Linked DNA regions of Arabidopsis thaliana. The protein of the gene in region 1 purifies or fractionates together with the protein of each later gene. This does not show direct contact. Each region holds a gene or a part of one and is shown on either strand. Other genes may lie near its edges. The genes, in order: emb1507, ESP3, MEE5 and AT1G10580.

Region 1 (7,160 bases):
ATTGGGTGATACAATGAAAATATTTAGTATAATTCAAATACATCAATAAGATTCAATTGTGCTACTACTATAACCGAAAAATAATTTCCCTATAGAAATTTAAATTGCATATTGTAAAGAAGATAGTTATTCTTCATTATTTATTTTTTACTGCCTAACTTGATTAAAATTTACTTTAAATAACTTAACCACAACTAAGCGATTAACGTTCATAAAAAGATACTCATCCTATATTTTCATATTGAAGATGAGAATTTTTCTTTTCCAACCTACTAACTGAAAATGACGTGCTTACTAAAACTCTAATGATATGTCGGTTTCGGTGGTAAGATTCAATAAATACAATACAAGACACACATTATCTAATGGCTCTTTTGTTTTCTTGCCTACATATTATGACATTTATTTAGTTTTCCGCTGTTTGTTTATTTAGATCTACTCCACAATAGTTGACGAAGATATATTATACGCGTAAATAGAATTGAAAAATACGTTAATATACGGAGACGACTTTAATTTGTAGTTGCCATTAGTTTGGTAAGCACTAGATCGACAATAAAGTGAGTAGCTGGTAAAACTAATTAACAATATACCAACTTGAGTTAATTCGTCAAAGAGACAGCTACACAAATAAATCAATCAATAGGCATGAACTAACTGACAATATATGCCGCAACACGAGCTATATATATCCGTCTATGATACATATTTTTCTTTATATCAAGCTTTTCAAATGTATAGGTATAAGAACTCAATTTTATGATTATCGCCTCTACACGTTGTTTTTGTGCTTTTTTTTTTCTACTTTTGTATATATTTGGGTCATGCGTGAAGCGGTGAGAGTACTTTCGGTTGGTGGAATGTCACGATGAGCTTCATCTTTTGACCTTATCAATTCTAGTAGCGGTTCCTGACATGGAAATTCACGTATACATGATACGAAAACTGTTACATTTCGTCACTTTCGTCAATATTTCTACGCATATTATTCATATATGTTATCTATTTTCTTCGTATGTTTCACAAAAAACGTATTTTGGACTTTCTAGGGTTTGTTAAAATCTCTAATAGTTTATTCATAGTATATATGGAAGGAATATTGAGACAATATTACTCGAAATTTTAATTATGCATGGATATATTCAGACCAAAATGTCAATTAGCCTCCGAAATGTATAAAACAAGATAAAGGATTTATAGTGGTCAACCCATTATTGTTATAATAAAGGATTTTGTAGTTAACTATGATACATTGTAACACATTTGAATTTTGTGGCAGACTAGCGATGATTTTCTGAATGACCTTTTTCAAATCAATTGTTACTTGTAAAAATTTGTCATTAACAACCGTAAGTGATAATCGGTAGTTAAATATTCCTTCCATATATACTAATCAAATGCAGCGGTTAAATAATTGATAGGAAAAAAAACAGCATAGGCATTGTTACTTTGTGTTTACACTTTTGAATAAAAAGTATTATTAAGTAAAACAAATAAATAATAAAAAATATTATTAAATCTTGGAATAAAGTACACCAATTTTGTCATAAATAATTAACTCCGGCAAAACTTTAAAGATAATGGAGCCACACTATGTCACATGATCGATGCTCCCTCTAATCCGCAATAGGTGCTTACATGGATGTTTAAACCGAATTTAGGCGGACGAGAGTTCTTAGTTGTTTATATATACGTAATTTGTTTTGTTGTATATGTGCAGTAACAAAAATAACATCGCTTTAAAACAAAAAAAATTGAAGTGGTTTAGCATAATTTTAGATATTAATTAATCTTGGTAAACTCTTAAAAAAACAGTTTTGTTTTAGAATATTAAACAAAAATACATAATTGAATATGATGCTCTTGTTACGTGGATTTCCACACATGGCCTTTTTGGGACATTTTGATTTTCCACGTCTCAATATTTCACACGCCTACTTATGTGATGACTGATGCGTGATTAGTCAATTTTCTGTATTAAATTACTGTTTTGTTTGTTTGTCACCATTCTCTGTATTTCCTTAAAGAGTAAAAGAAAGTAAAAATTTAGTCACCGGTTGAGTTTTTTTCTTTCCAAACAAGAGTTTTAATGATGGAGTGAGTTTTTCTTGTACTTTGTCATGTTGTTATGGTAGTTGATTCTTGTTATATCGATATATAACATGAGAACTCTTTTTAATACAAAACTATAAATTATACGTGTTGCATGTTTGAAAACTATATTATCACTAAGATCAATAGATCTCTTTAGAGATTTGACAAAAATAAACAAAGACATATATATAAATTTTTTGGATATTTTTATGGACTGCCCAGTTTTCACATGATAACACATGAACCTTCGTCTCATATACATGTGCCATCTTTTACTAATCTAAGATTGCATTCAAAGTAATCAGCCTCCATGTCATTGTCACCATTTAAAGTTTTTCCCATTCCTTGTTCATTATTACACACACATTATATTTGTCAGCGATTATTAATGTTGAGGTATTAATATTTTGACAATTTTAATTCTTATAATAAACAAAAACACTTGCATTCATTCTCAAATTAACAAACGCAAAAGAAAGCATGAGACCATTGTCTTATTACGTTGGGCTTAGGAAGTATGTACAGGCCCAGCCCAATCCATGTACAGAGTCGGTTTCGTTATTGGATCCATAGTTTCAAAACGGCATCGTTAAAGTTTTCCACCTTAAGGCGGTATCGCTAGCTTATAGAAAGAATTCGCAGTCGAATAAACGAAGGAGTGTCTCCTTTAGTCATTTAGGTCGATTATTAGGAGATAGAGGACGTGAGAAGGGAGAGATCTGAGTCTCCTACTAGGGTTTCTTCTACTGGATTGATTCGTTGCAGAGAGTGAAGCTAAGAAGAGATTTTCGTAGCTGTTTCTGTAAGTTTTTTTTAATCTCCGTTTCCTCGATTTGGGTGTGGTTTTATTAGGGTTTATCATCTCTGGGAGCTTCTTCGTTTCACTTTTGGTTCGTTTCTTCGATTTGAGGTTAACATTGTGTATTTTTTTTTGTTCCTGTTTGATTTGGTTTCTAGGTTTTCGGATTGGTAGATGGCGAACTTGGGAGGCGGTGCGGAAGCACATGCCAGGTTCAAGCAGTATGAGTACAGAGCCAATTCTAGTCTGGTGTTAACTACTGATAATAGACCTCGGGATACTCATGAGCCTACAGGAGAACCGGAAACTCTGTGGGGGAAAATCGATCCGAGGTCTTTTGGTGACCGTGTTGCTAAGGGAAGGCCTCAGGAGTTGGAGGATAAGCTGAAAAAGTCTAAGAAGAAGGAACGTGATGTTGTAGATGATATGGTAAATATTAGGCAGAGTAAGAGGCGGCGTCTAAGGGAAGAGAGTGTGCTGACTGATACTGATGATGCGGTTTATCAGCCGAAGACTAAGGAGACGAGGGCTGCTTATGAAGCCATGCTTGGTCTTATCCAGAAGCAGTTGGGTGGGCAACCTCCGAGTATTGTTAGTGGTGCAGCGGATGAGATTTTGGCTGTTCTCAAGAATGACGCATTTAGAAACCCTGAGAAAAAGATGGAGATTGAGAAGTTGCTGAACAAGATTGAAAACCATGAGTTTGATCAGCTTGTTTCCATTGGAAAGTTAATCACGGACTTCCAAGAGGGTGGTGATTCTGGTGGTGGTAGAGCTAATGATGATGAAGGGCTTGATGATGATTTGGGCGTGGCTGTTGAATTTGAGGAGAATGAAGAAGATGATGAGGAAAGCGATCCTGATATGGTTGAAGAGGATGATGATGAGGAGGATGATGAGCCTACCAGAACTGGAGGCATGCAGGTTGATGCAGGGATAAATGATGAGGATGCAGGAGATGCCAATGAGGGCACAAATCTTAATGTTCAAGACATTGATGCATATTGGCTCCAGAGAAAGATCTCTCAAGCGTATGAACAGCAGATTGATCCACAACAATGCCAGGTACTCGCAGAAGAGCTACTAAAGATACTCGCTGAAGGGGATGATAGGGTTGTTGAGGACAAGCTGCTTATGCACCTTCAGTACGAAAAATTTAGCCTTGTCAAGTTTCTGCTGCGTAACCGTCTTAAAGTTGTGTGGTGCACTCGTTTGGCTAGGGCAGAAGACCAGGAAGAGAGGAATAGAATCGAGGAGGAGATGAGGGGGTTAGGCCCAGAGTTGACAGCAATTGTGGAGCAGTTGCATGCAACAAGAGCAACAGCGAAAGAGAGGGAGGAGAACCTGCAAAAAAGTATTAACGAGGAAGCCCGGCGTTTGAAGGACGAAACTGGTGGAGATGGAGGCAGAGGCAGGAGAGATGTTGCTGATAGAGATTCAGAGAGTGGGTGGGTGAAGGGTCAGCGTCAGATGCTGGACCTGGAGAGCTTGGCTTTTGACCAAGGTGGTCTTCTGATGGCGAATAAGAAGTGTGACCTCCCCCCTGGCTCTTACAGAAGTCATGGCAAGGGATATGATGAAGTTCATGTGCCTTGGGTTTCTAAAAAGGTTGATAGGAATGAGAAGCTAGTGAAGATTACGGAAATGCCTGATTGGGCGCAACCGGCTTTTAAGGGAATGCAACAGTTGAACAGGGTTCAGAGCAAAGTGTATGACACTGCGCTTTTCAAGGCAGAGAATATTCTTCTTTGTGCTCCAACTGGTGCTGGGAAAACCAATGTTGCTATGCTCACCATACTGCAGCAACTTGAAATGAATAGGAACACAGATGGAACTTATAACCATGGAGATTACAAAATTGTCTATGTTGCACCCATGAAAGCCCTTGTTGCTGAAGTTGTAGGTAATTTGTCTAATCGTCTGAAGGATTATGGAGTTATTGTGAGAGAACTCAGTGGGGATCAGTCCCTAACCGGAAGAGAAATTGAAGAGACTCAGATAATTGTTACAACACCAGAGAAATGGGATATCATCACTAGGAAGTCTGGAGACCGAACTTATACTCAGCTTGTGAGACTTCTTATAATTGATGAAATTCATCTCCTTCATGACAATCGAGGGCCTGTGCTTGAAAGCATTGTTGCTAGGACTCTTAGGCAAATTGAAACCACGAAAGAGAATATTCGTCTGGTTGGTTTATCTGCTACATTGCCAAATTATGAAGACGTGGCCTTATTTTTGCGGGTTGATCTTAAGAAAGGTTTGTTTAAATTTGACCGCAGCTACAGACCCGTGCCTCTCCATCAGCAGTATATTGGAATCAGTGTGAAGAAACCGTTGCAGAGGTTCCAGTTGATGAATGATCTTTGTTATCAGAAAGTATTGGCTGGTGCTGGAAAGCACCAGGTCCTTATTTTTGTTCATTCAAGGAAGGAAACATCAAAAACTGCTAGAGCAATAAGGGACACTGCAATGGCGAACGATACCCTCAGCAGATTCTTGAAGGAAGATAGTGTAACTCGTGACGTTCTCCATAGTCATGAAGACATTGTTAAGAATAGTGACCTAAAAGATATTCTGCCTTACGGTTTTGCAATTCATCATGCTGGGTTATCAAGGGGTGATCGTGAGATTGTTGAGACTCTTTTTTCTCAGGGGCATGTGCAAGTCTTGGTTTCCACAGCAACTCTCGCATGGGGTGTGAATCTGCCTGCACATACCGTAATTATAAAAGGAACCCAGGTGTATAATCCTGAAAAAGGGGCGTGGATGGAGCTGAGTCCTCTAGATGTTATGCAGATGCTTGGTCGTGCTGGAAGACCTCAGTATGATCAACATGGGGAGGGTATAATTATAACTGGCTACAGCGAGCTGCAATATTATCTTTCTTTGATGAATGAGCAACTACCTATTGAAAGCCAGTTTATTTCCAAACTTGCTGATCAGCTTAATGCTGAAATTGTGCTTGGAACCGTTCAGAATGCTAGAGAGGCTTGCCATTGGCTTGGTTACACGTATTTGTATATCCGTATGGTTCGTAATCCAACGTTGTATGGCTTAGCGCCTGATGCCCTTGCAAAAGACGTAGTTTTGGAGGAGAGAAGAGCTGACCTGGTACGGAATTTGTTCATCTGCATAAATTTTGGCTTTTGCTATCTACTGTCACATTATTTTTCTATAGTTAAATGCCCATAAATACTATGCCTAGTATCTGAAGCTTTCATACAGCCTACTATTATGCAGCCTGTGATTAATTGTGCGTATTTTTTATCACTGCTCTGAAAGTTACTTTTATTTGTGTTAATATTCTTAGTGAAGAGTTTGTAACGCTCTTTCATATAGTATCATTGCCCCTAAATATTATGCCTAGCATCAGTAGCTTTGCCTCCGTGATTAACTGTTGGGATCACTTGTGCATCATCATGTACTGTTGGGATCACTTGTGCATCATCATGTTGATTACTAATCTAGTAACAGAAATTTCTTTTTGAGTATTTTGAATGGGGAGTATGTACCTGATTATTTAATTTTATTTCTCTGAAAATGACGTTTATTTATTTGATATCATTTCCCATAAATAATGTTCCTAGTGTCAGTAGCTTTCTCACTGTCTATTACATGCAATCAATGATGAACTGTTTGGTGTTTGCCTTGTCTTCTTCAAGTTGATGACAGATTAGTATTTCATATATCTTTTTGAGATTTCCGAACAATGAGTTTGCATTCGGTTATGTAATATCATTGTTCTAAAGTTTCATATATCATTGATCCTTTAATGGCGAGCTGTGTCTAATATTTGCTTGAATCCTTGTTTTTGCAGATACATTCGGCTGCTACTATCTTGGACAAAAACAACTTGGTTAAGTATGACAGGAAAAGTGGATACTTCCAAGTTACAGATTTGGGACGCATAGCAAGCTACTATTACATAACCCATGGGACCATAGCTACATACAATGAGCATTTGAAGCCAACAATGGGTGATATAGATCTTTATCGTCTGTTCTCCCTGAGTGACGAGTTCAAGTATGTGACTGTTCGGCAAGATGAGAAGATGGAACTGGCGAAACTTTTGGATCGTGTCCCAATTCCGATCAAGGAAACTTTGGAGGAGCCCAGTGCCAAAATAAATGTATTGCTGCAGGCATATATTTCACAGCTAAAGCTTGAGGGTCTTTCTTTGACATCTGACATGGTTTACATTACGCAGGTTTGTTCTACACTTTCTTCTCTCGTCCCTTCTAGTTACATTGATAAATTAGCTGTA
Region 2 (6,913 bases), 4.4 Mb from region 1:
ATTATGACAAGAGTCACGTCTAAACTTTTTGGGCCATTAAATGTTGATGTCACTTCATTTTTAATAAAAAAAAATCTCCCTTCTAACTGTACAGCCGCACTCCTCACCGTGAAACAAAAATATCTTCAACTAAACCGGAACAGTGTATCTAACTAAACCTGACTAACTAAACCGTACATTTAACAGTTTTTCAGCTGTAGCAGCAAGGGCAAAAGGATCAAATTTTAGCTAAATAGACAAAACGTGAAAACCATCTTTCACTTTGCCAATCCCTGAAAATAAAACATGGTCAAAAGGTATGCCTCGCAAATTACCGAGACTTAACTAAATGGTTCACACTTTTTTGCTAACTTTCACACTTTCACAGTTTCTTTCCAAAACAATTGAGTAATAATAATGTATTAAGGCCGGTCCTAAGTTAAAATGAGTCTATCATAGAAGCCCATTTAGCCCAAACTAAACAACATTACAAATACAATAAAATAGAGACGGAAAACAAAAAAAAAAGAGAAGAGAGACAAGAAAAAAAACACACTCTATTTGAGAAAGTACTTGTGGGAATCGCGGCGAAAAGCAAAGAGAGAGAGAAGGAAGGAATCCATTAATGGCGGCTGCCACAGTTCTCGGTCGCTTATCACTGATACCAAATCTATCATCTAAACCAAAATTGAAATCTAACAGAAGAACAACTTCCACAAGTGTTTCTGTTCGTGCACAAGCTTCGTTCTCTGACCCTTTTGTACTTCAATTAGCTGAATCTCTCGAAGATTCTCTCTCAGCTTCTCCTTCTTCTTCTTTACCTCTTCAAAGAATCCGTGATTCTTCCGCTGAGACTCTTTTATCTACGCCATGGCCGTCACGAAAAGACGAACCTTTCCGATTCACCGATACATCTTTAATCCGATCTTCTCAAATCGAACCAATTTCGACCCAGCAACGAAATTCGGAAATTTTGGATAATCTGACGGAAACCCAGTTCACAAACGCTGTGATTATTGATGGGTTCGTGTCGAATTTGACGATTGGTCCATCGGATTTGCCCGATGGGGTTTACTTCGGGAAATATTCTGGTTTACCGGATGAGTTAACGAACCGGATTTCTGAGTTTATCGGGAATTTTGATTCTGGTGATTTGTTTTGGTCGATTAATGGTATGGGAGCACCGGATTTGATGGTGATTTATGTTCCTGAAGGATGTAAGGTCGAGAATCCGATTTATTTGAGGTACTTTTCTGGTGAAACTGGTGACCGGGAATCGAAACGGTTACCGGTATCGAATCCTAGGGTTTTTGTGTTAGTGGAGGAAGGAGGAGAGATTGGTATCGTTGAGGAATTTGTTGGTAAAGATGAAGAAGGGTTTTATTGGACGAATCCTGTTTTGGAAGTTGTTGTTCAAAAGAATGCGAAATTGAAGCATTCTTATTTGCAGAAAGAATCCATGGCTTCTGCTCATATCAAGTGGACTTTTGTCCGACAGGTTCAATCTTTGCTCATTCTCTTATTGTCTTTCCAGTAACTAATTGGCTTGGTATTAGTAGAATTCTTGAATTGTTGAATCAGTAGTTTAGCCTATTACTGTTTGGTAGTACTCTCTCGTGGCTTAGATTAGTGTTGGATGTTTTGATATCAATTTGAGTACGAAAGTAGGAATCTTATTGCTGTCTGAGGAGAGTGTCTTAGTTTAGTTTTGTTGCTGCTGATTGCTGAACTTGGAAAAGTTGTAATCTTTATGATTGAATTGTTGATGAGGATGAATAGTTTAGTTTCAGCCTCATGTGAGTTTTGATTTTGTCTTCTCCTCTTTGTAGTATAAAGGTTTATAGAATAGGATGTTTTGGTATGGCTTCGGAATGTTTTATGCTGAATTGTTCATGTGGTGAACTCTGTAGGAGGCAGAGAGTGAATATGAGCTTGTGGAAGTGAGTACTGGTGGGAAACTTGGGAGGCACAATGTTCATGTGCAGCAGCTTGGGCCTGATACGCTCACAGAGCTAACCACGTTTCATATGTGTGTCAACGAGCAGACTCTTGATCTCCATAGCAAAATTATCTTAGACCATCCACGAGGCGCTTCACGACAGCTTCACAAGTGTATTGTTGCTCATTCCTCTGGTCAAGCTGTTTTCGATGGCAATGTCCGAGTTAACAGGTAAACTTTTCAGTTTGGTTTGGTGTGCTTAGCATCGGTTTAACTTCTGTGTGGTAATATGCAGATTCGCTCAACAGACCAACGCGGGACAACTAACACGGAGCCTCCTTCTGAAACCCCGAGCCACCGTGAACATAAAACCGAATCTTCAGATCATTGCAGATGATGTCAAATGCTCTCATGGAGCTGCTATCAGTGATCTTGAAGAAGACCAGCTCTTCTATTTCCAAGCTCGTGGGATCGACTTGGAGACTGCAAGAAGAGCTCTCATATCGTCTTTTGGATCAGAGGTTATCGAGAAGTTTCCAAATCGGGAAATCAGAGACCAAGCCAGGAATCACGTCAAAGGCTTGCTCTGATGTGTTTCACAGAAACCGATCGTGATACTCACGCGCCGGTTTTGCGCTTACGATTCGTCAATTATCCTTTGTTCATTACTGCTCAAAGGCTTGGGAGGCCCATATAGTCCAGTTTGGCCCATTTAATTAAAAACTAAGAAGAACAACAAACAGTTGGCTTCTATATGAGTTAAATAGCGTGCAGTTTCTCTTTAAATTTGGGAAAAGGTTTCTATTCGCATCTGTATAAGTAAAACGACGCGATGTTTATGGATTTAAGTAAAACTTGAAAACAACACGCTTTTTATTTGAAATCTGATAAAACAACAAACACTTGTTTTTCACCGCCTCCCTTTTCTCCATCGTTGGCCTCCTTCAACGTCGGAGACTCTCACCGCCTTTTCTATCCACCCACTCGGGTGAAATACTTCGATAGACTCCGATATATATATTCGCGCCCACCGGTAGCTTCGAAAACAGAGATCCTCACTCTCGAAATCTTCTCACTCTCGAGAAACCTGAACCCTTAGTTTACCGAAATCTAGGGTTTGTAACTTGTTCCATTAGTTCGATGATTAGGATAATTTGTGTCAGTTTATAAATTAGGTTTTGTTACTTTCGATTTTTCGGAGATATTGCTGCCTACGGTTGATTTGATAGCTATGAGAATTCAAGCTGCGAAGTGAATTTTAAAATTGAGAATCTTGTATAGTTTCACTAATTATTGTTTTGATTCGTATATCAATGAAATAATGTGAAATGGTTAGAGAATGGATTTTGATTTGAAATTCTTGGTGTTGCTTTGTTTATTCAAATACAGTAAGAATGGCGAGCAATGATTTGAAGACTTGGGTTTCGGATAAGCTGATGATGCTACTTGGCTACTCTCAAGCGGCTGTTGTTAACTATCTCATTGCAATGGGTAATTTGATGTTTCGATTTTGGATCATGGAGCTTATGTAAGAACTTTTGCTTGACTGTCCCAAAACTTTAACAAATTGTGTGCAGCTAAAAAAACAAAATCACCAACTGAACTTGTGGGAGAGTTGGTGGATTACGGGTTTTCGTCTTCTGGTGATACTCGTTCGTTTGCAGAAGAAATTTTTGCCAGAGTTCCCCGTAAAACTGCTGGTGTAAATGTGAGTTTGCTGTAAACTTTATCGTTCTTGTGTTTTCTCTTTGAAGCTTTTGGAACGAGATGCTTTTTTAGTTTCTGTTTCTGTGAGAAGTATGTATGGATATGAGCTTAGCTGTAGTTTTGGTTGGTTTTCTTAATTTGGTTTACTTCTCTGTCAGCTCTACCAAAAACATGAAGCAGAGGCAGCAATGCTAGTGAGGAAGCAGAAAACATATGCTCTTTTAGATGCTGATGATGATGAAGACGAAGTTGTTGTGGAGAAAAAATCTTCAGTTTCTGAATCTAGAAAATCAGATAAGGGCAAGAAAAGGTTTAGAAAGAAAAGTGGGCAGTCAGATGAAAGTGATGGCGAGGCATAGTTTCTTTTCCTCATTGACAGATTCCAATTTCTTTCTTTCTTAATGGTAAGTTATAGCTTGGCATCTGATCTGATAAAATGTATAACATAAATGTAGGTGGCCGTTAGAGAGGATAGTAGACACGTTAGAAGAAAGGTTTCTGAAGAGGATGATGGTTCTGAGGTATATCTGGACTCTCAACGCATTTCAACTATTTTCTGATTCCTGGTCTTTGGTTTACTCCAATAACTGGGAGATGTTCTATAGATATATGTGCATTCACGTGTGCTTTTATAATGTTCTTCTTTCTTGTCCACTCGCACAGTCAGAAGAGGAAAGAGTGCGTGACCAAAAGGAGAGAGAAGAACTGGAGCAGCATTTAAAAGATCGTGATACTGCACGGACACGAAAGGTATGCCTCAATCTAATCTTGGTATATTTTTCCTGTTTTGTGCTCTGAATAGGTCGTGTGTTTGTAGCAAACCGGGGGTAAGTATTGTCGGCAATTTATGTACAAGTTATTAATGAATGAGTTTTCTCGTAATTCATAGCAGGCAAATCTAGCTTTGTTTGAGTATGGAAGATGAATTAAGCAAAAATATTCACATTTATTCGTCATCCAATCTTGTATGCTAAGACAAATTCACTAACCAAACAAGAAGTATATAGTTAGCATGGTTTACTTATCAATGTATTGTACATGTGAAAGTCAATGACATGTTATTTTCGTTTGTTTATTGATCAGCTAACAGAGCAAACGTTGTCAAAGAAAGAGAAAGGTACACTCTGTTATAATTTGCGCATGAACATATATGAACATTTCTATGATACATTGTGATCTAGACATAAGTATTTTTTGCCTGATATTCTCATTTTGGTTTTATGTTTTATTGCAAAACAGAAGAGGCTGTTCGAAGAGCAAATGCTTTGGAGAAGGATGATTTATATTCCTTAAGGTAATGAACCTTTTCCTTCTTTATTTGTTTGTGATGATCGCTTTTTAACAGTGATTTTAGGTAATTAAGTTTAGTTACCTAGCATGATTTACAAGAACAGTAGTCAATAATGTACCTGGGTGTTGTATGTTAAAATCCCACCGTTAAAATACTATATGATGTTCCAGTTACCAATTTTTGACTATGTCAATCATCTCCTTGTTAAGTACTCTTGAGGGTGTTCTTACTTGTTGAAATAATCTCTTTGGAGGCTATTTTGTGCTGTCCATGTTATTGATCATCTTTTGGTGGGTCTGATACAGGAAAGTCTCGAGACAAGAATACTTAAAGAAGAGAGAACAAAAGAAACTGGATGAACTAAGGTACATGACATAAAGATTTTTGCAGTTTTCTATCTTTTATGGATCTATCTTCTATAATTGATTTCTCCCATTTTTATTCTTTTCTCCATAGGGATGAGATAGAAGATGAACAATATCTTTTCGGAGGTGAAAAGCTCACAGAAACGGAGCTTCGTGAGTTTAGGTAATTGTTACATCTTTCTTGTATCAAGGTGGTTGTTGCCATTGCCAACATCTATTTGATGCAGCATGCTTCTTTTGATGAGGAATAAACATTTTCAATTGTATATGAATAGTGCATTTTTAAAAAATTTATTTTTGCAATTGAAAAGTTAGATGGTTGTATTCATATTTAAGAAAGTATGTTTAGTTATAGTTGATTGAGCTTGGGTTGATCTGTTATCTTTGATAGGTACAAGAAAGAGCTTTATGACCTCGTGAAGAAAAGAACACAAGATGAAGATAACGTCGAGGAGGTAACGTTTTCATCTTGCTGGACCCTTCTCCCACTTGGTTATGTAGAATATCTATATATCTAACGCCTCTCCCTTTTACTCCTACCTCTCGGAGTTCAGTATAGAATTCCAGATGCTTATGATCAAGAGGGAGGTGTTGATCAGGAGAAGAGGTTTTCTGTTGCTGTTCAACGATACAGGTGAGTCGACAACGAGCGATTTGCTAGTGATCCACCACATTCTTCTCTGCTTGCACTTACAATAGGAATATCTATCTTTCTTATTTTACAAAATTCTTTCGGACGTCCTAAATCATATTTTTTATATTAGGGACCTGGATTCAACAGAGAAAATGAATCCATTCGCAGAGCAAGAAGCTTGGGAGGACCATCAGATTGGTAATTTCTGTTTTAACTCTTTTCTGTTAACCAGTCATTTTTTAACTATCCACTGATTTAAGTGACTTTGTTTACTTGTATGCTAATTTAAATGACATTGTAATGCAGGAAAAGCAACATTAAAATTTGGTGCAAAGAATAAGCAAGCCTCAGACGATTATCAGTAAGATCTGTTGCATATTGTTCTTTTATTCTTATTCTACTGATTTCGAATTTGTTTATCTCGTTTGAGAAATAGTCCTTGCCAGCTCTTAAACATGGATAGTCCCATGATCTGGGGATTCTAAATCTTAAACATGTTTTTCGCAGGTTTGTGTTTGAAGACCAAATAAACTTCATAAAGGAATCTGTCATGGCTGGTGAAAATGTATTATTGCCTATGATGTCTATTAAACCTGATGATACCTTCTTTCATATGTTGAGTTTTAGCTGATTGCTTGTTTTGTACTGCAGTATGAAGATGCTATGGATGCAAAACAAAAATCTCAAGATTTGGCAGAGAAAACAGCTTTAGAGGAACTTCAGGTACTATCCTTTTTCTATTTTTTCTCATTAACTCTGTTTGATCAAACTCAACCACCAGATCTTCTTTTTAGGATGTAATTCAAGATAAGTTAAGCTTGTATGTTTCTTTGAATTTATATCCGTAGCAAAAACTAAAATTTATCTTGACATGTTCTTGCATCTGTTTATTTGTGAATCAGGAAGTCAGAAGAAGTCTGCCGATTTATACGTATCGTGATCAACTGCTTAAGGCTGTGGAAGAGCATCAGGTAATTCAAGCTTTCATGCCATTTTTG
Region 3 (9,589 bases), 5.4 Mb from region 1:
TTGCGACTTTTAATCGGAAGGGACCTCTTCGCCGCGTCTGTTATCTCAGCCTCGTCGCCGCCGTTGTCGAACTGGTGGTCTTTTATGGGTTCGTCGGTCATAAAAATCTCGTGATTTCCAAAATTGCCAAAAATAGTTCATATCTTTAGGAAATATTCAAATTAGCCTCAAAACTATTCTTTAGTTTTATAATTTTGTCCTATATTAAACAAAATTATCACTTTAACCCCCACCAGGAAGCTTCTGACCAAACTTTCGAGTTAGGCTTTGTCAACATGGCACGTGTTCAACAGTCCTTCTCTTTTTTTTAACTCTCTTAACATTTCCTTCCGACAGATTTGCTTGCAGATTGAAGCTAAAATAATCAAAGACAAATACCAAACACAACAACAAATTTTCCAGACGATTTGAATTTGATCATCTCTAATAAACTTCGTCGCAGGTTTGTTCGCTCCTCTCTTCTTTTTCTAGTGTACTCAAGGATCAGCACATTTGAATTTATAGATCCAATTTATTGTAATTGTTTTCTTCCCTGATCTCTATTCGTTTAGATTTTGGTTGATTGATCTCGATTCGGAGTTTACGGTTGTACTGTTTAGTATTATATAGAACGATGGTGACTCGAAACTGATTCGGAAATCAAATTAGGGTTTTTTTAGGGCTTCGTTAAATTAAGCAAAGTCTGGGAAAATTGTGCAGAGAATATGGACAAATTGAAGATAGCAGAATGGGGAGAGAAGCTGAAGACTGGTGGAGCTCAGATGAGCAGAATGGTGAGTGAGAAAGTGAAAGATATGCTTCAAGCTCCAACCTTGGAATCCAAAATGGTGGATGAAGCTACTTTAGAGACTTTAGAGGAGCCTAATTGGGGAATGAACATGAGGATTTGTGCTCAGATTAACAACGATGAGTTTAACGGCACTGAGATTGTTAGAGCTATCAAGAGGAAGATCTCAGGTAAGAGCCCTGTGAGCCAAAGGCTGAGCCTTGAGCTTTTAGAGGCTTGTGCTATGAATTGCGAGAAGGTTTTCTCTGAAGTTGCTTCTGAGAAAGTTCTTGATGAGATGGTTTGGTTAATCAAGAACGGAGAAGCTGATTCCGAGAACAGAAAGCGAGCTTTTCAGCTTATTAGAGCTTGGGGACAATCCCAAGATCTTACTTATCTTCCTGTTTTCCACCAGACTTATATGGTAAATCTCTCTGAATCTTATTTGCTTATTATGCAAAGATGGAATTGTTCATATGCCTATAATCTCCGGCTTGTCTTTTGTTTCATAGAGCTTGGAAGGCGAAAATGGATTACACGCTCGAGGTGAAGAGAATTCAATGCCGGGACAAAGTTCTCTGGAGTCTCTTATGCAACGGCCTGTTCCAGTGCCTCCACCTGGTAGCTATCCGGTTCCTAATCAAGAACAGGCTCTTGGGGACGATGATGGTCTTGACTATAACTTTGGGAACTTATCGATAAAGGATAAGAAAGAACAGATTGAGATTACACGGAACAGCCTCGAATTGCTCTCTAGCATGTTGAATACTGAAGGAAAGCCAAATCACACAGAGGTAGTTGCTACGTTGTCTGCTCATCTAACTTTTGTCATTTTCCTTAACAAATGTCTATGGAATATGGATTGAGTTATGAGTATCTCCTGGTTTACATTATTGTTTCCTTGGATATATGTGCTTAAAGTGAAATTGACAGGACAGTGATAAGTAATAGGTTTATATATATTATGGTTACAGGACGATCTAACGGTTAGCCTGATGGAGAAATGCAAGCAATCGCAGCCATTGATTCAAATGATCATAGAGAGTACAACAGACGACGAGGGAGTCCTGTTCGAGGCTCTGCATCTGAATGATGAGCTCCAACAAGTTTTATCTAGTTACAAGAAGCCTGATGAAACCGAAAAGAAAGCCTCCATTGTGGAACAAGAATCATCAGGAAGCAAAGATACTGGTCCGAAACCAACAGAACAAGAAGAACAAGAGCCTGTAAAGAAAACGGGTGCTGATGATGACAAAAAACATTCAGAAGCATCAGGATCCTCCAACAAAACCGTCAAAGAAGAGAAGCAGGCCGTGAAAATAGAACTGGGGCTTTCGAGTGATGAAGATGAAAAATAAGCAGTCTGTGTTTGTTGTCTTCTTCCGACATGGATATCAGAATGTTGCGAAGAGTTGTTCTTGATGGTTTACTTTTAAATTATAACAATGTACTTCCATTATAAGTGTGGAACCTTTTTAGCTTCGTTTCTCACTTTCTGTTTTAAAGTGGTTTCTTAGACATTGTTAAACCGTAGGTGAATCTTCACCCGAAACATTTATACGAGGTGTTTTGGTTTGCACTTAGCCTATTGCTTATGTGTTGAGAGGTGAGTATCTACATCTCCTCTGGATTATATAAATGGCTTGATAAAATTCACCTCACTCTCCGATAAACTCGCTCGAAATGATAAAACGAAGTCTAACCTTTAATGTGTTTAATGTGTTTAGTCTTCTCAAGTCAAATAATAATCGGAGTCTTGGTCTCTTGGACGATGCTACACAGGGATATTTCAAAAGTTTACCCTTATCACCAACTAGAGAACCCAAATTAGGTCTTGTACCGATTGTAGAGTATATGTCTATACGATACTTCTCACTGTCTCTTGGACGATGCTTCACAGTGATATTCCAAAAGTTTACCCCTGTCACCAACAAAGCCAAATAAGGGCTTGTACCGATTGAAGAGTATATGATACTTCCCACTACACTTGAGTAAAGAACTGTCTTCATGTAATCATTATAACCATCTTGTTATGCTTACTATCTTCTTCAAATCGCAGCTTTCAATCTAAAATGAACTCCTAAGTGACATACGACTAATTTTGCTTCATCCATCGCAAAACGCAAACATCTTTTAAAACTTTTACTGAATTTTTTCTGCAGTAAACATAGTGAACCCGGTTTACGTTCTGGTTTAGACGTTTCAATTTTTTCTAAATTGGGCCGATTGACATATAATTGGACCCGACCCATCAACATATCCCACATCGTTACAAATAGATTTCAATTACTATAATTTAATCAATATATACCGACTAAAACTCTCTGTCCGACGTAGAGTCTTCCAATCAAAACCTAAATCTAAATTTTTCATTCCCTTGTTCCGGCGATAACAGTCTCAGTGGCGACAAACCCTATTGCCGAGCCAACTCGCATTTTCCTCTAGCTATCGCAACGCCTCTCGCTCTCTCTCCCCACCGGTTCGTCTTCTCACTCCTTAACTTTGTTCAGCTTGTTGATTCTACCCTAGGTTATTGCTCTACTCCAACGCTTCTGCTCGACTCTCGCCTTGTTGTTTTTCTTTAGTCCAACTTAGCATAAGCTTCTGCTCGATTCTCTCCTAGGGTTTTGCTCTAGTCTAATTACCTTAAGTTTCTGGTTGATTCTAGCTTTTTCATGGTGTTCTCTTGGACTTGGTGTTGAGCATTAGAGGAGATTACTCGCCAATGGGTTAAATAAAATATGTTGCAGAATTGCTATAGTAAATAACCCAGATAGATCTATCAAAAGCTTGATTTTGTGGTAATGCACTCATTTGACTTTTTTGCCGTTATTGTTTATCTGCTACAAAATCCTGATTGCTCATGGGATTCTTTTTTGACAGGTTTACATAAAGATGGAAAGTAGCTTGTATGATGAGTTTGGTAACTATGTTGGACCTGAGATTGAGTCTGACAGAGATAGTGATGATGAAGTAGAAGATGAAGATCTCCAAGATAAGCATCTTGAAGAAAATGGTTCCGATGGCGAACAAGGGCCTGGGGGTTCTAATGGCTGGATTACCACTATCAATGATGTTGAGATGGAGAACCAAATTGTTCTTCCTGAGGATAAGAAGTACTACCCTACTGCTGAGGAGGTTTATGGTGAGGATGTTGAGACCTTGGTTATGGATGAAGATGAGCAGCCTCTTGAGCAACCCATTATCAAACCTGTTAGAGATATTAGATTTGAGGTGGGGGTCAAAGATCAAGCAACGTATGTGTCAACACAGTTTCTTATCGGCCTCATGTCTAATCCTGCGCTTGTGAGGAATGTTGCTCTTGTGGGGCATCTACAGCACGGCAAAACTGTCTTCATGGATATGTTGGTAGAGCAGACGCATCATATGTCTACTTTTAATGCTAAAAACGAGAAGCATATGAAATATACAGACACACGAGTCGATGAGCAGGAGAGAAATATATCAATCAAGGCGGTTCCAATGTCTCTTGTCCTTGAGGACAGTAGATCCAAATCATACCTGTGCAATATCATGGATACCCCTGGACATGTCAATTTCTCTGACGAAATGACTGCTTCTTTAAGACTTGCTGATGGTGCTGTTCTGATTGTTGATGCTGCTGAAGGAGTGATGGTAAGTCTTTACTCTCTCTTTTTTGGTCTGTATTTTTAATTTTTTGAAGTATACTATTTGTACTGACGCTAATAATCTTTTTTCAGGTTAACACAGAGAGAGCTATACGGCATGCAATCCAGGACCATCTCCCTATTGTAGTTGTTATCAATAAGGTACTTCATGCTTCAACGTGTAACTTAAGAGATACTGTGTGAAATTTTATATTTCCATACATTTGCTTGACCTTTGCTTTTTGTCAATTTTTTTCCCCCAACAGGTTGACAGGCTCATAACTGAGCTCAAACTACCTCCAAGGGATGCTTACTACAAGCTGAGGCATACAATTGAAGTCATTAATAACCACATATCTGCTGCTTCAACAACTGCTGGAGACTTACCTCTTATAGACCCTGCAGCTGGAAATGTATGTTTTGCCAGTGGTACAGCCGGATGGTCCTTCACATTACAATCTTTTGCTAAAATGTATGCCAAGCTTCATGGTGTGGCCATGGACGTGGATAAGTTTGCATCTCGACTTTGGGGAGATGTATATTATCACTCTGATACTAGGGTATTCAAGAGAAGTCCTCCAGTAGGTGGTGGAGAAAGAGCATTTGTTCAGTTTATTCTGGAGCCCCTATACAAGATATACAGCCAAGTGATAGGTGAACATAAGAAGAGTGTAGAGACCACCCTTGCAGAATTAGGAGTGACTCTGAGTAATAGTGCATATAAGCTGAACGTCAGACCTCTACTTAGGTTAGCCTGTAGTTCAGTGTTTGGTTCGGCATCAGGGTTCACTGATATGTTGGTAAAGCACATTCCTTCACCCAGAGAGGCTGCAGCTAGGAAGGTCGACCATTCATATACCGGAACCAAAGATTCCCCCATTTATGAATCAATGGTAGAATGTGATCCATCTGGACCTCTCATGGTTAATGTGACAAAGTTGTACCCCAAATCAGATACTAGTGTTTTTGATGTGTTTGGAAGAGTTTATAGTGGTAGGCTTCAAACAGGGCAAAGCGTACGTGTACTAGGAGAAGGGTATTCACCTGAGGATGAGGAGGACATGACTATAAAAGAAGTGACGAAGCTATGGATATATCAAGCTAGGTATAGAATACCAGTAAGCAGTGCCCCTCCCGGTTCCTGGGTTTTAATTGAAGGTGTCGATGCATCCATCATGAAAACTGCGACTCTGTGTAATGCAAGCTATGATGAAGATGTCTACATATTCCGGGCTCTCCAATTTAATACCCTCCCAGTAGTCAAGACTGCAACTGAGCCTTTGAATCCTAGTGAGCTGCCTAAAATGGTGGAAGGGCTTAGGAAAATTAGCAAAAGCTATCCCCTTGCGATTACCAAAGTTGAGGAGTCTGGGGAACATACTATTCTAGGCACAGGTGAGTTGTACTTGGATTCAATCATGAAGGACCTCAGGGAGCTCTATTCAGAGGTCGAAGTAAAGGTATCTAATTGTATCTCTAATTTGGCTCTATGACTGTGATTCCGGTGTGCAAGCAAATTGCTGATTTGGCTGTTTGATAGCTAAGATCCTTTTGCTTTCTTAAATTTGTAGGTTGCAGATCCGGTGGTCTCCTTCTGTGAGACAGTGGTTGAATCTTCGTCGATGAAGTGTTTTGCTGAGACACCAAACAAAAAGAACAAAATAACTATGGTAAGAGATCTTCTTTTTCCACTATTATCTCTTATATATTAGACTGCGATGTTTGGTATGGTGCTCAAGCACAATTACTTTGTGAAAAATCTGATATCTGTTTCATGCTAAAGATTGCAGAGCCATTGGATAGAGGACTTGCAGAGGACATTGAGAATGGCGTTGTAAGCATTGACTGGAACAGAAAACAACTTGGTGACTTCTTCAGGACGAAATATGACTGGGATTTACTTGCTGCACGTTCCATCTGGGCTTTTGGCCCTGACAAACAGGTGAAATGCTTGTATTCTTAAAACACTGCAATCTGGGGTTTACTTTATCTTTATTGTTATGGTTGGTTTATGTCTGTTTTGACAATTTCATTGATTGTTGATTTTCGACTGATCAGGGGCCAAACATATTATTGGATGACACCCTTCCAACTGAGGTGGACAGGAACTTGATGATGGCAGTGAAAGACTCCATTGTTCAAGGGTAATCATCTTTCTTCTGTTACACTTTTCTTTTACTCGATTTTGTTGGCTTTAGCTAAGTGGCTTCGTTTTATTCCTCTTGCAGGTTCCAGTGGGGTGCTCGTGAAGGTCCCCTCTGTGATGAGCCCATCAGAAATGTAAAGTTCAAGATTGTTGATGCACGGATAGCACCAGAGCCATTGCATAGAGGATCTGGTCAGATGATTCCAACAGCAAGACGTGTTGCATATTCAGCTTTTCTAATGGCAACTCCAAGGCTAATGGAACCTGTCTACTATGTGGAGGTACATAATCCCTTTCCATTTTTGCTCGTCACATTTTTTCTCTTAAAATGATAACTAAGAGTTATGGTTTTGTCGCAGATACAAACACCAATCGACTGTGTAACTGCAATCTACACAGTTTTGTCACGTAGACGTGGGCATGTCACATCTGATGTTCCTCAACCCGGTACTCCAGCTTATATCGTGAAGGTTAGTTTTGTTTGTGTCTTTTCTCCTTACTTTGTTCCTGTTATTTGACTAAGTGATGATTCATTGAGTATATTCTTTGGTGTTGATGCAGGCCTTTCTGCCTGTGATAGAGTCCTTTGGGTTTGAGACAGATCTGAGGTACCACACTCAGGGACAAGCCTTTTGCCTATCTGTGTTTGATCACTGGGCCATTGTGCCAGGAGACCCTCTAGACAAAGCCATCCAGTTGCGCCCACTTGAGCCCGCTCCTATTCAGCATCTAGCTCGGGAATTCATGGTCAAGACCCGCCGTAGAAAGGTATTATGATTTCCTTTGTTTCAATGCACATCCCAAAACTTAGTGGGTTTCATGCGGTTAAAGATACGAATGAAACCATAAACTGATTTGTTACTCTAGTGTTTGGTTAAATGACCCCAGTAAACCCTCACAAACCAAAGGATCCCCGAAACTACTGTTTACAAACCCGGCCCTTGCTAATTACTCTTTAACCAAGTAACACCAGCTATAATTTGCTGGATACATCCTAGGCTAGTTATATTGTATGACTCGTTGGGTGTTTGGATCATCAGTTTCAGACTCTCACGATATGTATAATTTGTTGGTTATGCAGGGAATGAGCGAAGACGTCAGCGGAAATAAATTCTTTGATGAAGCGATGATGGTAGAGCTTGCCCAGCAAACAGGCGATCTCCATCTGCAGATGATTTGATGATCTCTGCACTTTTTTCATATAAATCGTGATTCAGGACTAGTAGTAGTATCTTCTCTTCTCTATATATGTGAAAGGAGAACAAGAAAATGTGGATCAGTTTTGTAATTGATGTGTCAAATTTACGTTGTAAGTTGAGAGATTTTAATGAACTCAACAGTCCACATGGTCACACTCACACATGACTCGCAAATAGTTGACAGGAAATGTTCACAAATTTTTGTAAAATTGTAAACTACTATTGGATTATGGGAAACTGAACTAGGTTATGACACTATCATTTATAAGATGATCTCATAGTTTGTTGTCTATATGATTAGTAATTATACATATGATACAGAGAACGTACGATCCAGATCCTATTTCCGCAAAGAGTTTTCTGCATAACTAAGATTTGATTCTTCAAAAATGCTAAATTTAAAGATAAACCAGGTCAATGGCACAAACCTATCTAGATATAAGTAAGTTTTTCTTCATAATTTAATTTAGTGCACACAGACGACTTATTTTACTCCAATGAAAATCGGTTAATTCGTCAAACGTCACTACTTGTCTCAAAGATTTGTTGTGCTTTACTATTTTCGTCTATTTCATGCTTCCATAATCAGCTTTTTACGTTGACGTGCTCTTTACAAATCGAAGTGGACGTGGCGGCAACCACTTATACTTATTATACATAGAATAAAGCTACAAAATATATAGTTAAGGCCCTGGTGGATTAATATATACATCGTTTAAGGTTTTAGATTGGTCTCCTCCACCTTATTTTATGTGCATTGCCAACTCTGAAAACGTCATGCCTTATCTTCATTGGTTATATCCATTTGGCTCCATCAACCAAACGACGATAATGATTTTCCACATATCCTATATACATTTGGGTTCGGTAGAATTACTACAATACTCAAATTGCTTTTAATTTATGTTTTAGTTTATGGAATATGAATTGTGAGTTTTTTAAAAAATAATCTCCCAATTAAATATTATTAGCTTTTAAGTTTCTATTTCAAGTGAAATCAGTTAGCTATGCATGTCATTCAATATAGACATAATTTTGTTTTCTTCCATTCGTTTTACAATTTTTAACTAACAGAAATTATACATTACGTCACTTACTACGTTCCCACTAAAAATAGAGGCAAATGCAATCAAGTGATGACGACCTTTCAAAAATAAATATTAAGAGATATATAAGAAGGGACTAGCTAGGTAGATATGACTAGATTCCAACTTAATTAACGTATTTAATTTCTGCATAGATGGACGTTAATTAGGACTTTAGCTTCTCTATAAATACCGTAGCTATTGAGCTTATATATGGAGATCACCCCCTTAAAATCTTCAAAGACTATATATCTCACCTTTAAGAACTAAGAGGAAGTTACATATATATGGCAAGTCTCAAGTTATGGGTTTGTTTGGTCCTGCTTCTAGTACTCGAATTGACATCGGTGCACGAATGTCGACCATTGGTTGCCGAAGAGAGATTTTCTGGTTCAAGTCGTTTGAAAAAGATAAGACGTGAACTTTTTGAGAGGTTAAAAGAGATGAAGGGGAGATCAGAAGGCGAAGAGACGATCCTTGGAAATACTCTTGACTCAAAGCGGCTTAGTCCCGGTGGTCCTGACCCGAGGCATCACTGACACTGACCATAGAAGAATGCAAAAAAAAATGTGTAATGTAACATTTTTGGGAGAGTTTTAATATGATATTACAACTTTTTAACTTATAATGTAATATTCTTATGCTGTAGTTAATTTTCTGTCTTTCCACTAATGAAGCATTTCTGTTTACATGATCTCGTTTTTATGTAGTTCCTGCATGCATCTTTCTTTAGCAAATATGTTCTATTTAAAAAAGCAGCATGT
Region 4 (7,285 bases), 3.8 Mb from region 1:
TCTAAAATAGTCGTAATTGATATTTGCATACATAGAATAGATAGATGTTATGCATCTGATGACTATCTTCAAAACATGTTCAAGGGCATAGGCATTTGGATCCACTTTTGGAGTTTTTCATATTGCGATAGCAAGGACATTCATCTTTGTTTTCTCCTAAAATCACACATGGTTAGATTTTGTATGTGAATATAGTTAACTAAAACTTAAAAAACATGTATATATACACGACATAACTAGTAAACAAATCTTTTTTTCTAAATGTCTTATATAAATTGGACAGTATATATAGATCGATAACAAAAATTTCGCTACAAATTTTCTAACTATAAGTAATCATCCTTTTCTAGCCACAGAATTAGTTACAAGTAATTATAGGCTTAACATTTTAAAATTGGGCTAATCTGTATTTCTAGTCACGGATTTTCAATGGCTATGAATTATGATAGTTACCAAATGACTATTCTCTTCTTGTACGAATTCAAATATTTGAAGAAGGAAAAAAAGAATAACATGTGGAAAATGCAATAAGGATATAATTGTCCCTTACTCAGTTTCTAAGCAAGTGGTCAAGCAGCGAGACGATATATACACAGTGTTAGTATCATATTGCGGCTCCTTTTACTTTTTATGTCAGTTTGCTCAGTGGCAAAGTTATGACCAACATCTACCTGGAGTACTCCAAGACTCAACAAAACTAGGCATGTTTAATTTTCTGTCTTTGTATTCACCTCCGGTGAACGTTTAGACGATCGGTCCATGTAGATCCCCTATCCGGTGAACGATGTCGGCCATACGGCCAAAGAGAGTTGAGGGCCTTTAATAATTTATGTAAGGAATGCCGAATGTGTTGTGTCCTTTTCTTCTATGATAATGATAGCTTGTTGAATAATCTTAGGTTATGGCGCCTTATGATACTTTCCTCGGATAATGAATACGTGCACCAAATTAATTGAACATGATGATACTATTTGATTTAGTGGTCCCGATTCTATCAGTATACAAAACAATTTTCCTTTTCTATTTGTTGATAGAAACATATATAGTACTGTTGTAAGGAATTCATTTTTGTCTACCGTGGCTGTTGACTATTTTACGCCATTGAAATGATTTTTGATAATAATTTTCTCCAAACCTACTGTAAATCACAGGACTTAAACTCATGGTTAGTAATCTGAAAGAAGAAGAATCATATCTCTGAACGTTAGGAATCTCATCTCACACGGTAAGCATGATGCTATCTAAACTATGTCTTTGAACGTTAGAAATCTTACATCGAAATTATGATGCGTCCTAGTAATGTGTCAACCCACCAACAAATCTAATTTTTTTTTTAATGATAAACAACATATCTAATTGTTTTGAAACTTTTGTATCTTTAAGAACGTGGAAATTCCGAAGTAAATAGTAAAATTTACTTGGTAGGAAAGATGCATGCATCTTATTAATTTAGTGTGTAAGCTCACGGACGCAATCACAAAAGCCATGACTTTCTTCCAAAACATCCCTTTCATCTAAATCACGTAGCTCTTTCTCTCAAAGTTGAGATTTGTGACTCTGTATCTCCCGGCCCTCTCTATCTCTTTAACTGTATATAAAGAGAGATGGATTTGAAAAGAGAAACTTGTACATAAAAGCTTAAAAGAAAACAAAAAGAATGGGGAGAGCAAGAGAAATAGGAGAAGGAAACTCATCGTCGTTAAGGGAACAACGAAACCTCAGAGAGAAGGATCGAAGGATGCGCATGAAACATCTCTTCTCTATACTTTCTTCTCATGTTTCTCCCACTCGCAAGGTCCGTTTTTTCTCTCTAACTCTCCCTCTCTCTCTTTCTCTCTCTATATATATCTTATATTAAATTGTAGATGTGTTTTATGCGTATATACAACAATACAAACATTATCTACATAATTACTGTAAGATGTACGTTTTATTCTAAAGAGATAATATTTTGATTAATTGAATAGGCAGTTGTCCCTCTATGACCGTCCATATTAGCTCTCTTTTAAGTACGGTGTCTAATTGACAAATAAATGATTCACGTAGCTAGGGTTTTTACGGTTTATTTATATATATTGAATATAACCACATTCATGTAAAAGATTAATGAAAGTAATTATCTTGGGGTTTTTTTTGGGATCTAAACAGTTACCAGTGCCTCACCTTATAGATCAAGCGACATCATACATGATCCAATTGAAAGAGAATGTAAATTATTTGAAAGAGAAGAAAAGGACATTGTTACAAGGAGAACTCGGGAATCTCTACGAAGGGTCGTTTCTTCTACCCAAACTCAGTATTCGTTCGCGGGATTCGACCATAGAAATGAATCTGATCATGGATCTAAACATGAAAAGAGTAATGTTACACGAGCTTGTGAGTATTTTTGAAGAAGAAGGAGCTCAAGTAATGAGTGCTAATCTTCAGAACTTGAATGATAGGACCACTTACACAATCATAGCCCAGGTACCACATCCACACGCATATGTTTGTATAATACACACGTATATGCATGTGTCATGTCTTTCGTATAAATTTTTATTACATATATTTGCAGGCTATCATTAGTCGGATTGGCATTGATCCATCAAGGATAGAAGAGAGAGTACGGAAAATCATCTATGGATATATATATTTTGAAGCATGAAATCCCAAATGATAAGTCTACGCTAACGCTAGTGTGTTTTTTCACACATGTGTTAGTTCTTTAAATATGAGATGAGTAATTGCTTTTGAGTTCGATTATGATAAATATGTTGACCGTCAACATAAGAAACCTTAAAACGTTGTCGTTTCGTTTTTATTCATCCCGGTTTAATTCAGTTTGGCTTGGCGTGATTTTAGATTGGTCCAGATTTGCATAATTTTAACCACCGAGTAAGACAGTGGGATGTAAATGTCAATAAAATACACTATTGGGGTAAATGTGAAAAGAAAAAAATAGTAAGAGGCTATATTTGAAAATCTAAATATCGCACAAATTGCAACCCTTATTTTAGATTTAGGAATTTTGAAACCCTTGTCGAAGAGAAAAGAGGCAAAATCTCAGTATAAAGTTTCTCAAACACTTGTGGTAAGAGAGCAAAATCGTGAGAGATGGATCTGATTCAATCCTACGAAGAAGAAGACGAAGCCGTTGCTTCCTCGCCGGAATCTTCACCGCCTCGTATGTTAAAGGCGAAATCATCGGCGCCGGAGGTAGACGATACGGCACTAGCTCTCACGGTGGCTAACGTGAATCAATCGAAATCGAAGCCGATTGACCCGACTCAACACGTCGTCTTTTATAACCCTACCCATGATCAGCTGTGGGCTCCGATGTTCGGCCCCGCGCATCCGTATGCGAAAGACGGGATCGCTCAAGGGATGCGGAATCATAAGCTAGGTTCTGTGGAAGATGCTTCGATTGGATCGTTTGGGTTTGAAGAGCAGTACCATACGTTTCATAAGTGCGGTTACGCGGCGGATCCGTCTGGGATGAACTACGTCGGCGATGTTGAGGCGTTTAAGAAGAACGATGGTCTTTCGGTTTTTAATATTCCTCAGAGTGAGCAGAAGCGGAGGAAGATTGAGAGGAGCAAAGAGGAGAGGGAAGGGGAAGAGAAAAAGGAAGAGATTGAGCCGGAAGCTGAGAATCCGGAGACGGAAGCTTGGCTTAGGAAGAATAGGAAGAGTCCGTGGTCGAGGAAGAAGGAGGTGGTTCAGGGAGAGTTGACGGAGGAGCAGAAGAAGTATGCGGAGGATCATGCCAAGAAGAAGGAGGAGAAGGGACAACAAGGTGAAACCAAAGGAGAGCATTATGCGGATAAGAGTACCTTCCATGGCAAAGAGGAGAAAGATTATCAAGGAAGGTCTTGGATTGAGGCTCCTAAAGATGCTAAGGCGAACAATGATCATTGCTACATTCCAAAACGTTTGGTTCATACATGGAGTGGGCACACGAAAGGTGTTTCCGCTATTAGGTTCTTCCCAAAGCAAGGACATTTGCTTCTCTCTGCAGGTATGGATTGTAAGGTTAAGATTTGGGATGTGTATAACTCTGGTAAATGTATGAGGACTTACATGGGTCACGCCAAAGCTGTGAGGGATATTTGCTTCTCCAATGATGGGTCTAAATTCTTGACTGCTGGGTATGATAAGAACATTAAGTATTGGGACACGGAAACTGGCCAAGTTATATCGACTTTCTCCACTGGGAAGATTCCGTATGTGGTTAAGCTGAATCCGGATGATGACAAGCAGAACATTTTGTTGGCTGGTATGAGTGATAAGAAGATTGTGCAGTGGGATATTAATACGGGGGAGGTTACGCAAGAGTATGATCAGCACTTGGGGGCAGTTAATACTATCACATTTGTGGACAATAACAGAAGATTTGTCACGTCGAGCGATGATAAGTCTCTCCGTGTTTGGGAATTTGGGATCCCGGTGGTTATCAAGTATATCAGTGAGCCTCATATGCATTCTATGCCTTCCATTTCTGTTCACCCGAATGGAAACTGGCTTGCTGCACAGAGTTTGGATAACCAGATTCTGATCTACAGTACCCGAGAAAGGTTTCAGCTGAATAAAAAGAAGAGGTTTGCAGGGCACATTGTTGCCGGTTATGCATGCCAAGTTAACTTCTCGCCAGATGGACGGTTTGTAATGTCAGGAGATGGTGAGGGTAAGTGCTGGTTTTGGGACTGGAAGAGCTGCAAAGTGTTTAGGACTCTTAAATGTCACAATGGAGTATGCATTGGAGCCGAGTGGCATCCTCTGGAACAGAGTAAAGTCGCAACTTGTGGTTGGGACGGCTTGATTAAGTACTGGTATGTAACCTTCTTCCAGACTATTTTGTTTATTTGTTTCTCTTGTCATGATGTGTGGTGTGTGCCTTTACGTAACAGCTGCATAATAGTTATTATTGGTATATATAATTGTAGCAAAGCTAAAGTTGTCATCTGAGTATCCTTGCATGTAACATGTGTCTTAATTCTTTTGGAATCAGATATCGTATATTCCTAGTGTATGAGTAATACTTTGAGTTCACATCTGTGGAGTGATTTGGAAAGAAAGTTTGACTTTGATTCTAATGGTTTTTATTCATAAAGAAGTTGCGCAATTGTAAAATCTTTGAAAATTACCAGTCCATGTAACCATGTCGTAATCTCATGGCTAATGTTTGATTGTGATGTTTTGTTGCACATTTGCAGGGACTAAGACAAGCAGAGGCATTTCGGAGAAAGAGAGAGTAGAAGGCACAGAAATCACGGCCTAGCCTGGGCTATACGGAATGCTGCATCTTTGGGATACAAAGCCCCTTTGAGTTTTGCTTTCCGCTGTTTTAGATTCTTTAGTGTTGTATCAATCTCGGTTTAATGGATTATGTAGAGGGACGACCAAAACTATTTCAAATGCTTGAGAGAAACTGTTGACTGAATCGTTATAAAGATAGCTTGTAAGACTTGAAATTTTGCTAAAGCTGTGTTACTTTGCACCATTGCAGCAATGTTGGCTTTTTATTCGGATACGTTATTATTACCTTGTTGATTTGTTCTGATTATGTCATGCTCCTTAGTTTATTACAGGACTTGAACAAAATGATTGTTAACAAAAACGTATCTTTCATTTCATTCCTTAATTAGAGTGACCAAACTTGACACTGTTCTATACAGCTTTAATCTGTTTGGTTACCCTTGCGGAATAGATCAACGAGTATGTTCCAGATTTTGATCCTCAAAGCGGAAGCTTCTTCCGGTTTAAACCACTTCTTGTGAATCTGGAGATGAAGACAATACAACAAGTTCTGTTAACAGCAAATTGTTTAGAATAGATCATAGAAACAAAGATGGAAGAAAAACGCACCATTTTCAAATCCTGCAATGTCAGCCTTTGAGGAGCCTCTTCGATGAAACGTCTTATGAAGAAGAGCAGAAACAGACCACAGTCGAAATCGTTCTTCTGTTGTGGAACCTGAAAAGGTGATGAAATTATTTAGAAGAATACTATAATTTGTCTTCAAACATTATGATTTGCAACTTAAGGTATAAAGACTAGCCTGCACTTCAGCTTCGTTGATCATATTGGGAAGGTCTCTCCATACTTTTGCTGAAATTGGTAAATCCAATGGAGCATCTTGATTTAGATAGTTCCATTCCTCTCTCAGAAATCTGCAACAATAACTTGTAATTAAAACCACAAATAGAATATAGTTAAGATGGTCTTAGACTCTTGACACTGAGAAACTTTATGCAATCAGCATCAATGATACGGATTCCTTGGGTCTCACCTTTTGACATTATTGAAAATCAAATTTCTTGGGTGAAGTCCCAATGAATCCAAGTGAATTATAGTCAATCCCGATTCGTCCTCCTTGTCTGGGATGCAAATTATGACTAAGCTCCAGTGAAGACTGAAACATTCAAGAGGGAAAGAAAACATTAACCAATCTAACAATTGATGCTGAGAACATTTCTCCATTAGAAAGAGCAGACTGAGATGTGATAACTCTGATCTAAGATACCATCTTTTTGCATAATCCTCTAAGCTTAGATGACAAAAATTACTCTTCATGCCAAAAAAATGCATTCATGGGATTCAATAATAAACAGTCAGTAAATTACTTACTCTTCATGTATTGGTATAAATATATATGATTTACAGAATAGATCAAAACCCTTCCACCACCGCCTGAACTTCACAAAATATGCATCCCTGTCATTACCCTAATCATAGTGAAAGGACAAGACAAAGAGACCGAACAACACATGAGTCGCCAGAAGAAAAATAATGTTAAATCACAAGATTCATAAAAGAGGTAGTATTATCATTTTTTTTCTCAATTCTTGTTACAGTTGCAAATGAAATATTTACTCAACCTTCTATAATAGAACAATGAAACATAAAGCATCTTGAGGACTTGAATTTTTTTTAAATGCAAACAAAATATAATGAGCTCTGAGAACTAATAATTATCTTTATAGAAACCAGGGAAAGCAATCACCTTGTATGAAACAGCTTCTGTGAGCTTCTTGTAGAAAAACGTATTGAAGAAATGACAATTAGCAGCAGTCTTATCAGCTGAAAACACGTGATGTTGCACGTACCTAGTCAAACAGAAGCAGAAATTATTACAAAGCTATAACACGAGACATATAATGCAAGTATCCCAGTCGGTACTTAGAAGTCACCTGATGTAGAAATTTATAACTGGCGATGTAAGATATTCCCCAGGTGAAAGGCATTTCAGATCTTTAAGAGATACTTGAACAAGGTCTCGCCCATCACTTTGATCACTAGATAA

The links.
Region 2: the proteins of emb1507 (region 1) and ESP3 purify together in Arabidopsis thaliana (affinity purification with mass spectrometry, with the first as the bait; one study listed by BioGRID). This does not show direct contact.
Region 3: the proteins of emb1507 (region 1) and MEE5 fractionate together in Arabidopsis thaliana (co-fractionation; one large-scale study listed by BioGRID). This does not show direct contact.
Region 4: the proteins of emb1507 (region 1) and AT1G10580 purify together in Arabidopsis thaliana (affinity purification with mass spectrometry, with the first as the bait; one study listed by BioGRID). This does not show direct contact.

What each region holds. Positions count from the first base shown.
Region 1 is NC_003070.9:7,305,822-7,312,981, reverse strand, and holds the start of emb1507 (U5 small nuclear ribonucleoprotein helicase), read left to right. Parts: upstream 1-2,710; 5' UTR 2,711-2,896; intron 2,897-3,051; 5' UTR 3,052-3,067; coding exon 3,068-6,007; intron 6,008-6,713; coding exon 6,714-7,103; intron 7,104-7,160. UniProt on the Arabidopsis thaliana protein: RNA helicase that plays an essential role in pre-mRNA splicing as component of the U5 snRNP and U4/U6-U5 tri-snRNP complexes. Involved in spliceosome assembly, activation and disassembly.
Region 2 is NC_003070.9:11,745,686-11,752,598, reverse strand, and holds the start of ESP3 (RNA helicase family protein), read left to right. Parts: upstream 1-2,815; 5' UTR 2,816-3,033; intron 3,034-3,307; 5' UTR 3,308-3,312; coding exon 3,313-3,409; intron 3,410-3,495; coding exon 3,496-3,626; intron 3,627-3,783; coding exon 3,784-3,978; intron 3,979-4,080; coding exon 4,081-4,146; intron 4,147-4,288; coding exon 4,289-4,375; intron 4,376-4,708; coding exon 4,709-4,742; intron 4,743-4,864; coding exon 4,865-4,919; intron 4,920-5,221; coding exon 5,222-5,281; intron 5,282-5,372; coding exon 5,373-5,444; intron 5,445-5,672; coding exon 5,673-5,736; intron 5,737-5,835; coding exon 5,836-5,915; intron 5,916-6,045; coding exon 6,046-6,113; intron 6,114-6,221; coding exon 6,222-6,276; intron 6,277-6,422; coding exon 6,423-6,480; intron 6,481-6,566; coding exon 6,567-6,638; intron 6,639-6,817; coding exon 6,818-6,886; intron 6,887-6,913. Other genes in the region: ABCI7 (non-intrinsic ABC protein 6), read left to right, coding at 605-1,477, 1,890-2,149, 2,214-2,508. UniProt on the Arabidopsis thaliana protein: Involved in pre-mRNA splicing.
Region 3 is NC_003070.9:1,896,863-1,906,451, forward strand, and holds MEE5 (Ribosomal protein S5/Elongation factor G/III/V family protein), read left to right. Parts: upstream 1-3,088; 5' UTR 3,089-3,245; intron 3,246-3,370; exon of another isoform or gene 3,371-3,434; 5' UTR 3,435-3,567; intron 3,568-3,649; 5' UTR 3,650-3,661; coding exon 3,662-4,402; intron 4,403-4,488; coding exon 4,489-4,557; intron 4,558-4,661; coding exon 4,662-5,855; intron 5,856-5,966; coding exon 5,967-6,065; intron 6,066-6,178; coding exon 6,179-6,337; intron 6,338-6,453; coding exon 6,454-6,539; intron 6,540-6,623; coding exon 6,624-6,822; intron 6,823-6,900; coding exon 6,901-7,011; intron 7,012-7,102; coding exon 7,103-7,309; intron 7,310-7,622; coding exon 7,623-7,721; 3' UTR 7,722-8,035; downstream 8,036-9,589. Other genes in the region: AT1G06200 (Peptidase S24/S26A/S26B/S26C family protein), read right to left, coding at 1-101; AT1G06210 (ENTH/VHS/GAT family protein), read left to right, coding at 705-1,190, 1,279-1,560, 1,741-2,124; CLE3 (CLAVATA3/ESR-RELATED 3), read left to right, coding at 9,113-9,364. UniProt on the Arabidopsis thaliana protein: Splicing factor involved in pre-mRNA splicing and component of the spliceosome. Essential for reproduction. In female gametophyte, is necessary for the egg cell and central cell fate determination and hence reproductive success.
Region 4 is NC_003070.9:3,489,477-3,496,761, reverse strand, and holds AT1G10580 (Transducin/WD40 repeat-like superfamily protein), read left to right. Parts: upstream 1-2,927; 5' UTR 2,928-3,096; coding exon 3,097-4,811; intron 4,812-5,195; coding exon 5,196-5,202; 3' UTR 5,203-5,504; downstream 5,505-7,285. Other genes in the region: AT1G10585 (basic helix-loop-helix (bHLH) DNA-binding superfamily protein), read left to right, coding at 1,658-1,795, 2,149-2,466, 2,558-2,647; OTS2 (Cysteine proteinases superfamily protein), read right to left, coding at 5,660-5,761, 5,848-5,955, 6,041-6,152, 6,272-6,394, 6,610-6,707, 6,986-7,088, 7,173-7,277.